3 linked regions of the Drosophila melanogaster genome follow. The protein of the gene in region 2 purifies or fractionates together with the protein of the main gene of each other region. This does not show direct contact. Each region holds a gene or a part of one and is shown on either strand. Other genes may lie near its edges.

What was found. Proteins that work in one complex are often made in the same cells at the same time.
Region 1: the proteins of Act87E (region 2) and glob1 purify together in Drosophila melanogaster (affinity purification with western blotting; one study listed by BioGRID). This does not show direct contact.
Region 3: the proteins of Act87E (region 2) and alpha-Spec purify together in Drosophila melanogaster (affinity purification with western blotting, with the first as the bait; one study listed by BioGRID). This does not show direct contact.

Annotation. Positions count from the first base shown.
Region 1 is NT_033777.3:15,901,630-15,906,490, reverse strand, and holds the start of glob1 (globin 1), read left to right. Parts: upstream 1-1,847; 5' UTR 1,848-1,989; intron 1,990-3,906; exon of another isoform or gene 3,907-4,048; intron 4,049-4,107; exon of another isoform or gene 4,108-4,289; intron 4,290-4,861.
Region 2 is NT_033777.3:13,424,101-13,428,932, reverse strand, and holds Act87E (actin 87E), read right to left. Parts: upstream 2,951-4,832; 5' UTR 2,891-2,950; exon of another isoform or gene 2,755-2,890; intron 2,487-2,754; exon of another isoform or gene 2,351-2,486; 5' UTR 2,330-2,350; coding exon 1,199-2,329; 3' UTR 558-1,198; downstream 1-557. UniProt on the Drosophila melanogaster protein: Actins are highly conserved proteins that are involved in various types of cell motility and are ubiquitously expressed in all eukaryotic cells.
Region 3 is NT_037436.4:1,792,315-1,796,927, forward strand, and holds the start of alpha-Spec (alpha spectrin), read right to left. Parts: upstream 3,015-4,613; 5' UTR 2,885-3,014; intron 1,187-2,884; exon of another isoform or gene 1,102-1,186; coding exon of another isoform or gene 1-1,101. Other genes in the region: dlt (discs lost), read right to left, coding at 1-1,101; Cdc37 (cell division cycle 37), read left to right, coding at 3,386-3,418, 3,479-3,682, 3,864-4,523, 4,588-4,613. UniProt on the Drosophila melanogaster protein: Spectrin is the major constituent of the cytoskeletal network underlying the erythrocyte plasma membrane. It associates with band 4.1 and actin to form the cytoskeletal superstructure of the erythrocyte plasma membrane.

The sequences.
Region 1 (4,861 bases), 2.5 Mb from region 2:
CAAGCCTACGATCACAAATCTCTTTAGCTTCTGGCATTTGGCGCTGTCGATGTTGCTAGTGCTGTTTGTTTGCTGCTGCACTGCGTCCATTGTGATATAATTATCCAATTAAGATTAGTCAAACATTTGTTTTTGCGCCTCTGTTTACTTTCCCGATGCTCGCCGTTTATCTTCAGCCAAAACTCTCGCGTTGATCGAGTTTTATCTGCTCTTTCCGACCAACTACCTTTATGGCTGAAACGATACTGAGCGGGTTTGCCACACTGCGGATCTGGCCGCTCATATGCTTGCTGAACACACAAGTAGTTCCCCCGAAAAATTGGATAACACGCTCTCCCTCTCCAATTATTTTCGTTTTCGGCGCTCTCTGGGGGATCATTGTTGTGGTTTGTTTTCACCTCGCGAGCAGCCTTTTGTTTACTCAGGAGCGGATTCGTTGGGCCCCCATGCCAAATTTCAAGTTTGAGGACATAAATGACAATGTGCAGCATATGGTATAATTTATGCGGCCAGTCAAAGTAGGAAAACAATTAGTTTCCTAAAGAAATAAAGCTAAGCCAAACGAATATAAATAAAATGTAACTGAAAAACTAATATTCTGTTTTACCTTGGATAATCATTTATATTTTAATTCATTTTATAAAAAGGTTTACAATTGAATCAGTCTTTAAACGTGCATGAATGAAACCAATTATTCTTTTCCACAATACTTCTAGTACCTATAGATATTTAAAATTCAATTCATATTTTTGTGGGAACATATGGCACGTGGCAAGCCTACTAATTTTTGGTACTTAAGGAATTTCATCCAAAGTCTCTTTTAATTACTAACATCGTGTCTTGAATCTCTCATCTGGAAGTACTAAACAAATAATTTAATCACGCACTTACTAATTTGTTTGTTTCAGCGAATATAGCGTCATTTGTATTAAAGTCTCGACTGTAATATAATTACTTCCAAATTGGGCTTAAACCATACTGTGTTTAACAAAAAAAACTTCAACAGGAAACTGTGACGTGATTTGAAAAAAAATTGACAATAAATTGTGAACAAAATATTGTATAATTGAACACCTATAATTGCAGTGCGAAATTTTCTTAGGGCTTGATTTTTTTTTAATATCAACAAGATTTTACTCTTATATTGTCTGGACTGCAGTTCCTACAATTAGTTGAAAATAGTCTTTAAAACGTAAATAAAATTAAATACATTGTCGCCAAAGATGGAATGACGAAAACGACATTAACTTTCACAATCTAATACCAAGATATCCATCATGCTATATTTAAATTAACCTTGATCAATAATTATTCAAGGCACGGGAAAACAAATAGCTCGTCACGAAAGGTGTTATTTGTTTGCAGTTTGCTTTTGGATTGGATCCACCTGGTAGAAGAATTTAGTGTACTAAAGGAGAGCTTTACAAATATTGTAATTTGATACATTATGTTTTGGATTAGCATTTGATTTATTCTTCACAGTGAAGCGAATTGTTTGCTTTGTTACAATCATCTAATATTTTCGAATACAATGTTTGCCTTTTTTAAGCTTAGGTATAGGTAAATTTGATTATCAAGGTTAGTTCTTTATACTTAAAGTAATTATGTCTTGTAGTCTAGCCGAAAACTGGATTTTGCTGCTTCTTTTAATCTCCTGACTCCTAAAACTCCGAAGCTTCAAAATTCGGAGCGCGCGTTTTATTGATTCGCTTCGTTCTAATGTTGTGACAAGCAGTCTCAGACAATATTTACCAAATCTTACGAAATGAAAGACCCATACGTATACTTTCACCCAAGTTGACCTCTCTGGATGATAGTGTACGAAGATTATCAGCTCGGAAACTTTTGTAGCTTCGTTTGCTGCGTTTATTTTGTGTCAGTTGTTGTTGCCGCTCGGAAGTCTTTTATAAAGGCCAGTCGGGCTAGAAATTCTATTCAGTTCAAATATTAACGGCGTCGTGTGCAGTTGCCTGGCATTTGATATAAACTGTGAGTGTGAATTGGAAAATAGTGTTCTATCCCATCCATATTTATGCAAATATTTATAGTAGAGTGATTGCATTCGTAAATCGACGTTGCTTACAATTCCCGTTCATATAGTAGCAAAATAAACAATCCGTGTGCGGTGTGATATTTGAATGCAACGCATTTTGTTGGGTATAAATTGGCAGTGCTTGTTTGTTTGTCCGCCACTTGGTTTATTGAAAATTACTGATGGAGGCTTATTAAGGTAGTGATAGTGAATAAACATTTATAAAAATAGTACAGCGCCACGATAAGGCTAAATCTTTCACTTGTGCATGTGATATATTGATAAGAACAAATAGAAGATTATTGTTGAAGTAAAGAATAAACAAATAAACAAAACAACTGAATGGAGTGTTTGAAAAGATTTGTCATATTGCGAATCTTAAACATCGAAATATTAAGAGTCGACCTAACTAGTTTTAAAAATCTTTGAATTTTTTCATTTCTAATACAAAATGTGCTTTCATTTGTTTTGCTGGATTAATTACATAATTATATTTGAAGATAGCTTAGACATCACGACAACAAATATTTGTTTATAGCTCCTAAAGCTTAGATTACATTGCGCATTTGAAGAAAGCCACTGCCCAACGGTTAAGTAAGCTTTTCCTGTTCTAAGCCCAAGCTTTTAAGAGATAGCTTTGTTTTGGGGCCAGCACTTTGACTACGCTCCTTTAAAACGTCGGAAGGTCCACAGGTGTCACTGGAAAATGTTTGATTTGGGCGTGTTGGTTCGACAGGTGTCGTCCCATTTTGAATTTGTTATGAAATGTGACAGCAAATCGGGGGAGTGTCCATAAGTGGGCTCTACGCCTGATCGGAATATCAATTGTTTTGGGCAAATGACACACCTCAAAGCCCCCGTTGAACTACGCCTCTCTCATCTGGAAGTACTAAACAAATAATTTAATCACGCACTTACTAATTTGTTTGTTTCAGCGAATATAGCGTCATTTGTATTAAAGTCTCGACTGTAATATAATTACTTCCAAATTGGGCTTAAACCATACTGTGTTTAACAAAAAAAACTTCAACAGGAAACTGTGACGTGATTTGAAAAAAAATTGACAATAAATTGTGAACAAAATATTGTATAATTGAACACCTATAATTGCAGTGCGAAATTTTCTTAGGGCTTGATTTTTTTTTAATATCAACAAGATTTTACTCTTATATTGTCTGGACTGCAGTTCCTACAATTAGTTGAAAATAGTCTTTAAAACGTAAATAAAATTAAATACATTGTCGCCAAAGATGGAATGACGAAAACGACATTAACTTTCACAATCTAATACCAAGATATCCATCATGCTATATTTAAATTAACCTTGATCAATAATTATTCAAGGCACGGGAAAACAAATAGCTCGTCACGAAAGGTGTTATTTGTTTGCAGTTTGCTTTTGGATTGGATCCACCTGGTAGAAGAATTTAGTGTACTAAAGGAGAGCTTTACAAATATTGTAATTTGATACATTATGTTTTGGATTAGCATTTGATTTATTCTTCACAGTGAAGCGAATTGTTTGCTTTGTTACAATCATCTAATATTTTCGAATACAATGTTTGCCTTTTTTAAGCTTAGGTATAGGTAAATTTGATTATCAAGGTTAGTTCTTTATACTTAAAGTAATTATGTCTTGTAGTCTAGCCGAAAACTGGATTTTGCTGCTTCTTTTAATCTCCTGACTCCTAAAACTCCGAAGCTTCAAAATTCGGAGCGCGCGTTTTATTGATTCGCTTCGTTCTAATGTTGTGACAAGCAGTCTCAGACAATATTTACCAAATCTTACGAAATGAAAGACCCATACGTATACTTTCACCCAAGTTGACCTCTCTGGATGATAGTGTACGAAGATTATCAGCTCGGAAACTTTTGTAGCTTCGTTTGCTGCGTTTATTTTGTGTCAGTTGTTGTTGCCGCTCGGAAGTCTTTTATAAAGGCCAGTCGGGCTAGAAATTCTATTCAGTTCAAATATTAACGGCGTCGTGTGCAGTTGCCTGGCATTTGATATAAACTGTGAGTGTGAATTGGAAAATAGTGTTCTATCCCATCCATATTTATGCAAATATTTATAGTAGAGTGATTGCATTCGTAAATCGACGTTGCTTACAATTCCCGTTCATATAGTAGCAAAATAAACAATCCGTGTGCGGTGTGATATTTGAATGCAACGCATTTTGTTGGGTATAAATTGGCAGTGCTTGTTTGTTTGTCCGCCACTTGGTTTATTGAAAATTACTGATGGAGGCTTATTAAGGTAGTGATAGTGAATAAACATTTATAAAAATAGTACAGCGCCACGATAAGGCTAAATCTTTCACTTGTGCATGTGATATATTGATAAGAACAAATAGAAGATTATTGTTGAAGTAAAGAATAAACAAATAAACAAAACAACTGAATGGAGTGTTTGAAAAGATTTGTCATATTGCGAATCTTAAACATCGAAATATTAAGAGTCGACCTAACTAGTTTTAAAAATCTTTGAATTTTTTCATTTCTAATACAAAATGTGCTTTCATTTGTTTTGCTGGATTAATTACATAATTATATTTGAAGATAGCTTAGACATCACGACAACAAATATTTGTTTATAGCTCCTAAAGCTTAGATTACATTGCGCATTTGAAGAAAGCCACTGCCCAACGGTTAAGTAAGCTTTTCCTGTTCTAAGCCCAAGCTTTTAAGAGATAGCTTTGTTTTGGGGCCAGCACTTTGACTACGCTCCTTTAAAACGTCGGAAGGTCCACAGGTGTCACTGGAAAATGTTTGATTTGGGCGTGTTGGTTCGACAGGTGTCGTCCCATTTTGAATTTGTTATGAAATGTG
Region 2 (4,832 bases):
AAGCATTTAAATGTATAAAATATTCAATAAAAAGTGCATTTATGCATCATGTATACAGTACAACATACCCTACCCGTATCTCGTCTATTTTCGATTTGGGCACCCCATTCCAGGAATCCCGAGTCCCGAGGAGGCCCATCTGCCTGGTGTCGTCTGTCTGCTCGATCTTCAAGTACAAGCGTCCCGGACCAGCCACACAAATGTACTTGAAATTCCAAGATATTTTTGCAGCCCCCGAGGTCGTGGCACTGCAATTTAAAAGACAGCCGGCGGTCGCTTCTCCCAGCGGCTATGTTAACTCCAAAAAAACGGCCATCTCACACATTGTTACAGTGGAACATACCTAAAATATACTTAACTAGGTCTTGAACGAAGACTGTTTTCAGCGAGCTCTTGTATTCCTAATTAGTTTAGTTTTAAAAATATATATTTTCGAATCCCTTTAAAGTTGATATTCTGACATTCAAAGTCACATATTTGTTCAATCTACTGTGGGTTGACTGTAGTCTTAGAAGACATTTGTTAATACTTCGGCATGTTGATTTGCCGCTTTTGTTGTTTCCTTTGGTCTGTATTTTTAGATCCACGACGAGGGGGGCAGCTCCTGCACCGACTGGCAATGGGCAAAAATGGACTGTCTTGGAGGCGTCTATGCTGGGATTACCGTGCTCATCCCCAGCCACATATGTACATATGTATGTGCACCCCAGTCGAGGAGATCCACCTCCAGATTTCGCTCTTTGCAGTGGGCGTGCAAAATTTCGTAATTTCCTGTGCGTCGCTAAAAATAATCGCATAGCATGCCGCTTGCAGCGAATAAAAGATACGTTTCGTTTAAAATTTAGATTTAATTTATAGAGGATGCTAGTATAATTTATTTTTAAAACTGTAAAATTTTGCATTCTTGTGTCTCCTCAACTCCTCCTTCAGCGCCATCAAGCGGCTCTCCAATAAATATTAATATAAGTATAATACATGCTGTTACAATCGCGGTTCCTTCGGTTTTCTTTGGATGGCAGGGCAGCAAGAGGTTTTAACTTAAGATTAATCATCAATAGCACTAGGCTATAGATCTTGATTTGGTATTTGGTTGTTGCTGTTCATGTTGTTCTTGTTGTTGTTGTGTGGTGTTCTGTGGCGTGGTGTGGTTGGGTCTCAATGCCCGTGTGGTTTGCAGTGTCTGTGGTGTTTAGATCGCTTAGAAGCACTTGCGGTGGACGATTCCTGGGCCGGACTCGTCGTACTCCTGCTTGGAGATCCACATCTGCTGGAAGGTGGACAGGGAGGCCAGGATGGAGCCACCGATCCAGACGGAGTACTTGCGCTCCGGTGGGGCAATGATCTTGATCTTGATGGTGGACGGCGCCAGGGCGGTGATCTCCTTCTGCATACGATCGGCAATACCAGGGTACATGGTGGTACCACCCGACATGACGATGTTAGCATACAGATCCTTACGGATGTCCACATCGCACTTCATGATCGAGTTGTACACGGTCTCGTGGATGCCGCACGATTCCATTCCCAGGAAAGAGGGCTGGAACAGCGACTCTGGGCAGCGGAAACGTTCGTTGCCGATGGTGATCACCTGTCCGTCGGGAAGCTCGTATGACTTCTCCAGGGATGTGGAGGCGGCGGCGGTGGCCATCTCCTGCTCAAAGTCCAGGGCAACATAGCACAGCTTCTCCTTGATGTCGCGAACGATTTCACGCTCAGCGGTGGTGGTGAATGAGTAACCGCGCTCGGTCAGGATCTTCATCAGGTAGTCGGTCAAATCGCGACCAGCCAGATCCAGACGCAGGATGGCGTGGGGCAGGGCGTAACCCTCGTAGATGGGCACGGTGTGGGAGACACCGTCACCGGAGTCGAGGACAATACCGGTGGTACGACCGGAGGCGTACAGCGAGAGCACAGCCTGGATGGCCACATACATGGCGGGTGCGTTGAAGGTCTCGAACATGATCTGGGTCATCTTCTCGCGATTGGCCTTGGGGTTCAGGGGGGCCTCGGTCAGCAGGACGGGGTGTTCCTCGGGGGCGACGCGCAGCTCGTTATAGAAAGTGTGGTGCCAGATCTTCTCCATATCGTCCCAGTTGGTGATGATGCCGTGCTCGATGGGGTATTTCAGGGTGAGGATACCACGCTTGCTCTGGGCCTCATCACCAACATAGGAGTCCTTCTGTCCCATGCCCACCATTACGCCCTGATGACGGGGACGACCCACAATCGAGGGGAAGACGGCGCGGGGCGCATCATCGCCGGCGAATCCTGCCTTGCACATTCCGGAACCATTGTCCACGACCAATGCGGCAACCTCATCGTCACACATCTTGGCTACTGGCTGTTTTCACTGCAACAACAACGAGAACGGAGGCGGTTTTTAGAAGGAGAAGTGAGAAGTGGGCTTTCGGTATTCGGATTGGGTATGGATTTTAATTGTAATCTTGTGTGTAAGTGTGAAATTATGAAATACGTGTAGGTGTTGCCTCAGAACATGTATGACTTTAAAAGAAAGAGTATCTTTGCAGAGGAGCAATCATTAAAATTAATAAAAAAGGGCTGTCTTCAACTTTTGAAAATATTACATACTTTAATAAAAGTTTTAATTAATTATAATTTTTGATTTAAGATCAAACAACTAATATTTTTCAGTTTTAACATTTTAAAGAATGTTTTTTTAAACAAAAATTAGTCACTATTAAAAACCAAACATTTAAGGATCGTTGATTAAACTTTTTCTGCTCCTTGTCAAATATGTTGTTTGTTGAGATCTCTATCTTTCCAAAGTATCTTTCTTTTCAGAAAGTTGGGCACTGTACACTGGATCCAGCATCGGATTGGGTAAAAGTCAACCAGACAGACGGAATTGGTGGATGTGGAGTATACTAACCGTTAGACGAAGAAAAACTAGAAATCCAAATCAACACTTTCGCTGTAGAACTGCGAGTGGTCGCTGGACCGAGATGCGCTAATATTTATACCATTCTGGCGACCCTCAGTCGTTTTAGATATTTTCCGCACGCACACTCAATCGCCTCTCGGCACACATGTGCACATGGATGCACATTGCGCCGGCGGGGGGAGATTCTGAGTTTCTTTTAAAAATAATTTGTTTTCGTTGGATTTTTGCTTTTGGACTTCTGCTCGCTTCGTTCATAATTTCCCAGATGGTGCACTGCAGGAAAGATGGCTCAAAATATGTTATGAGAAAATATAGATTTTTGTAAAGCGCATATGATGGAATGAAAATAATCAATTTTGTACCTATTTTCTATTGTGTAATGATTTTCTAATATTAAAATATCATACCACAAACTACTTCTTAAGTATTATTATTATATTATTAAGTAAATATGCCAGAAAAATATTTAATACTTTTAATTATTTGGTTTAAAGCTAAGTAAAGGCTTGTGAACTTGGTGATGTTTAGGTCACAGCTTTCAACATTTTCTCTTTGTGTAATATCGACTGAGAAACAGAGAAACAGACGGATCTGAGCGCCTTGGTAAACAACATCGCGATGGCACACAGACACTCACACCCGAGAAGATCCTCCGGATCGGAGCATCCCAATCGTAGGCGTAATGTTTGCTCTCCATCCGAATCCGAATCGTTATCTTTATATGTATTTGTATCTGTTGCTATATCTTTGTCTGCAGCTGCGGAGGTGTCTGCAGATGTATGGGTGGCGTGTTCGTTTTTTGTTTTGTCTAATTTTTAATCAACATTTGCACGTTGGCCCAATCCATACATGGTTGCGATGGAAATCTCTCAGCGATGATGAGAACGCACTCGCAATTAGAAATAAGAATTTCAAAACTAAACCAAAACTTATATACCGCCGCATTCTCTCGGCCATAATTTGTTGGGTGTGGGCTGTTTTTCTGGGTGGGTGGGTTGGTTGTTGGTTTTGGGGATAGCTGGTTAGGGACCCAAAAGCCATAAACACAAACGGAAAATTGTTAATAGAGCGAATAGTGCATTTATAGATTTGCCAGATTTTTTCGGTTGGCCAAATTGACATTAATTAATACGCCCCAACTTATTTGGCCATTAACATTTCTCTTCGAGTTTTTCTTCTTGGCACACACTCATCAATCACAAACGAGATCATTGAAAGCTATTCAGTTAATGATCAAAACTCTTAATAGACTTATATGGTGCTATGAGAATTTTTAAAAATAATAACAAACGGAAAAATGCGTTTGTTGTTTACACTACACATATTCTCTCAATTCGTTGAGAGTGTTGGTGTGGGTGGGAAAACCGTGTATGAGATGGAAAAGTCGGGGAAAGCAAAAATAATTTAAATGAAAACCGTGCGCTCTCACGTTTTTGCAAGAGATTCTTGGACGCTTACGCGTAGAAACGTATCTAGAGTTTGGAATTCTATTTTTAGTAAGGAACTTACGAAATTTGTATATTTAAATCTAGATAAGTATGCGAGTGGCCAATTATCACAGGTGAGGAAATACAATTTCTTGACAGAAATGATTATGTACCGTGTCTAGTACCTACTGGAAATGTCTTAACTTTTATTAAATATTGTATTCAATCTCCATGATCCCCACTAATGATGTTACTTTCCATAAATAATATAGAATTTCCCACATATGTATATATGCGTTCATTCACTCTGTTTTCCCCGCTATCAGCTGAGTAATCGGCAAACATTTTCACAACGCCTTGTTGGGCGCCATTCATTTGGTTTGCCACAACGCCTAGCTGGTCATCATTAATATAAAAATAAACATGAATATATGTTAACAGTTGTGTATTATTTTTTTGTGAAATTTTTCGGCCCACATTAGCTGCCCAGCAGCTGATTGAAT
Region 3 (4,613 bases), on a different chromosome or scaffold from region 2:
GGTGAGTCCCTCCAAAGCACTGGGTACATACGATTTGACGGGTGATTGGCCAAAATCTCGCACATTTAGCAGATGGACCACAAAACTAAGTTCACGTAGTACGTTGGGCACCAAATTGAGGTCCATTAACAGGCTGTAAATGGTTGATAGGAGCTGCAAGTGATTGGCATTAGCCACACCCTCCAAGCTAATGGCTTCCTCAGGGAAAACCTCATCTTCGGGTGTCCTCTCCTGTTGACTAACATTCACAGGCGCTTCGCTTTTGATTTCCTGCTTTTTGAGCAACAGGAACTTGCGGGCCTCCATTTCCAGGGCTGCTTCTTGGCTTCTATCGAAGATTTCGCTGCTCTGCGAGATTCGCCAAAAGTTATTTTCATTGCTAAAGGAACTGGTGTCTCCGAAAGAGGAGCTGGCCGAAACATTCTTGCTAATGGTCATGGGTAAGACACGTCGCCGCGGCTTGGATTGTGGCGTGGCTCCAGCTCCAGTTCCTGAACCCAATGATGCATGTTGATTTTGCTGCTGTTTTTGGGGCGTGATCTTCTTCTTAGATCGCTGATGGCTCTGGATAGGTGTATTGACCAGAAAGTTGCCCAAGCAGATGCTGTGCCCTCCTCCTGCTCCCCCACCGCCGCTTCTGTTAGGCGTGCTGCAAAACTGGGCGCCACTTCCTGGCGTTGATCTTCTGCCCTGCGGCTGCTGGGGAGCCGGAGTAGTATTCGAAGTGGAGGACATACTGCAGCTGCTCCGGCTAAGGATCGAGGACTCATTGAGCTGCTGCTGTTCCTCCTCCTTGACCACATCGGCGACCGGCGGCTTGAGCTGATGGATGGGGGTCAAGGGAAACACGGGTGTCTCCGAGTTTTGCGAATAGTAGTACCTCTTTGTGCTTTGACGCAGTGCACCTAAAAAGTAGGTGGCGAAGTCCTCTAGTGTGCAGTTACTCTGGTTATCACCCTTGCCAACCTTTTTAAAATAGGCGACGAACTTTTGCTCCAGCTGGTGGTGCGGCACCTTCTCCAGTTGCGCAAGCAGCTGCAGCAGATGCCTCTCTTCCGGCTTCGTCATTTCTGTATCTGACGCTTTGAGCTCTGCAGTCATGTTCCGGTGATCTATTTTCTGTGCCTTAGCTCGAGCTATTTTCAACCTTTGGCCCTCCTCCAATCCCTCTCTCCCTTTTGTTTCCCTGCAACGGAAGAGGAGAGAAGGGAAATGTTGGCTCGGCTTTTGTGGGTTTCGTTTTCTAAGTTATTTTTAGAGTTGTTTGGATGGGTTGAAGTTGCAGGATTTTCTTTTTTTTCTGTATAAACAATATGTTTTCACACAATAAACTAAATCAACGTAAACGACACGTAAAATGCTACGAGTTGTGATGACTTCATCACCTGTACTAAAAGTTGTAATAAGGTTATAGTTAGGCGGGAAATTATGAGGAATATATTTGTAGGTCAGGTTTGGAAAAACGCACATGTATGCTAAACAAATTTGTAAAGGTATTAACCTTAACAATAAAAGAATAGTAGGTTTCTAAAAGTATCTAAATATTGCATCAACAATTTTTTGTTGTTAAAGTATAAATATTTTCTATGAATTCTTATAAGATATCATTTATTTTAATTTCCAAACTTAGTTGATAGCCCATAAAATCACATTTCTAATAGTTTCCAATTTTTAGTGCTAAAAAAAAAAAAAAAACAACTCAGATAAGAAAAGCAGAGAAATATCTGAAATTCTCAGCTACACTACACAGAAGGTAAAATAGTTAAGATTGGCCAAGAATGATTAATAGAGAAAAGCCAAGGAGTGAATTTTTGTCAATAGAGTAACATGAAATACAATTAGCACTAACGATAAGGAAATCCGTGGAATGTCCGGATTTTAATACTTAATACTTCAAAATCGCCCCTTTAGAAGGGGTCAGCAGAGCAAGCAATGACATCATTTAGGGGAGAGGGTGGGTCAGCATGCAGAGAAACAAACAAACAACACTCTTTGCCACAGGAAATTGAAATAAATCAGAGGGAGATGGCAACAGCCCAGGGCTTGGCAGCCATACAATGTTGGAGCTCACATACAAACACACAGGCAGGCCAATTTAACTGTTTATCGCGGTGGCAAACAAAAACAACATCAGAAACGGCAATTGCGAGAGATCGCACCTCAAAAAGAGAGCGAATAGAAAGAGACGGAGAGAGCGAAACATTAATTGAAGTGTCTATCAGAAAATAGCAGAGGATGACGTAATGCGTACGCTTTGGAATTATGAGCAATCAATGAAGAGGCACAAAAAATCAACTGGTACGCAAGACTACTACGAACACGGAATCGCCTGGCAAGCAAACAAAAATATCCTATGCAAACACAGGCCTTCAAGAAAGTCAAGGACACTTGCCCACCCAAAACTTTGGCATATGTAAGGCAAGCACTTTGCTTTTTTTTTATTCGTACTTAAATATCTTGGAAACACAAACAAGCAAAGAGAGGGAGAGTGTGCTCTCCCGCTTTCTCTCATCTGAAGTTGCCGCACCACCACCACCACCCGATGACGTACACACACACAGCGTTCTCTACTCCTGCGTAACCGCACACACACATGCACAACAGGAGCACCAGATACTTTTTCTTAAGTTGCAATTGGAGTCAAGAATTTTGAAAGAAATTCAAAATTTCTATTACTAATCAAGCAGTGACATTGCACAGCATAGCTTTTCAGTTATGGCCAAGACTTTTCTCTCACTTTAGCCCCGTTAATTGGATTTTTGTGTTGCCTTCGAGGGTGTGGCGTTGACCCGAAAAATTTTCACTTTGCACGCACACCGAATTTCAATTGCATTTTGAACCCAACTAACAGTGAGCTACGGACGAAAACTATGTAGAAACTTACACTTTGATGGCAATCTATTTGTTCACAGTTACTTTGTTAATTTAACTATTGATTTGCAGTAGTTATTCGTAATTTTCACGGAGCGCCTCTATTTCACGGGACCGCAGTTTTTTTCAATATGTCGGCCGATTGGCGCAGAACATTGACATCAATATCGCGATTTCTATCGATGTCAATCGATTATAAACATAGTTCTCTTTCTGGTCGCTTTGGCGCCTTAGTCATCTCATTATTTTTCTAGTAGATGTAGATGAGTAGTAGTAGATGATGTAAATAAATTAAAAACGACAGGGTATTTCAATTCAATCTGGTGCACTCATGCATGACTACTATTTCCTAGCGCGGCCCCAGAGTAAGCGGGGCTTATTATGGTATTATTCCGCAATAGCCCTGCGGTCACACTAATTTCCAGAGCAATCCAAAAAAAGGAAGCAGCCGAAAAAGAACAAAAACCTGCAGCATTTACATTCAAATATAAATCCGAAGCAAAGAAACAGCAAAATGGTGGACTACAGCAAGTGGAAGAACATCGAGGTGAGCCCACTGCTGGGTGCCAACCCAAAAAGTCCTCCTAATCGGCACACTACCTTTTAGATTTCGGATGATGAGGACGACACTCACCCAAACATAGACACGCCTTCTCTGTTCCGCTGGCGGCACCAGGCGCGCGTGGAGCGCATGGCGGAGATGGACCACGAGAAGGACGAGCTTAAGAAAAAGCGCCAGAGCTACCAGGCGCGCCTCATGGACGTCAAGGAGCGGATCTCAAAGAAGGATGGCGACGAGGAGGCCCTGAAGGTGGGTCATTGCACCGAATGCACTGCGCACTTGTTGCTTAGGCTAATGCCTGGTCTGGGAGTTCCCTATGTTCTCAATCCATCTAATTTATTCTTATTGTCAAGCTTATGATTGACTATCATCCTAAGTGGCCATCCATCTTTCATCGCAATGCTTAATCCCTAATTTGTATCGCCTACAGAAAGAGCTCGAAAAGATCGAGGCCGAGGGCAAAGAGCTGGACCGCATCGAGAGCGAGATGATTAAGAAGGAAAAGAAAACACCCTGGAACGTGGACACCATCAGCAAGCCCGGCTTTGAGAAGACCGTAATCAACAAGAAGGCCGGCCGCAAGCCGGATGAGAATCTGTCCGAGGAAGAGCGAGAGCAGCGCATGAAGCAATTCGTCAAGGAGAACGAGAAGCTCTGCCAGCAGTATGGCATGCTGCGCAAGTACGACGATTCGAAGCGGTTTCTGCAGGAGCATCTTCACTTGGTGGGCGAGGAGACGGCCAACTACCTAGTCATTTGGTCCATCAACCTGGAAATGGAGGAGAAGCACGAGCTGATGGCCCACGTGGCGCATCAGTGCATTTGCATGCAGTACATTCTAGAGTTGGCCAAACAGCTGGACGTGGATCCTCGCGCCTGTGTCAGCTCCTTCTTCTCAAAGATCCAGCACTGTCATCCCGAGTACCGCGCGCAGTTCGACAGCGAGATCGAAGGTTTCAAAGGACGTATCCAGAAGCGTGCGCAGGAGAAGATCCAGGAGGCGATAGCCCAGGCCGAAGAGGAGGAGCGCAAGGAGCGCCTCGGACCTGGTGGTCTGGACCCAGCCGATGTCTTTGAATCCCTGCCCGATGTACGTTCTAGTGATTCACTGTATGGGAATTACTTGACTAACTTTTCATGTATTTGCTCCGCAGGAACTAAAGGCCTGTTTCGAGTCCCG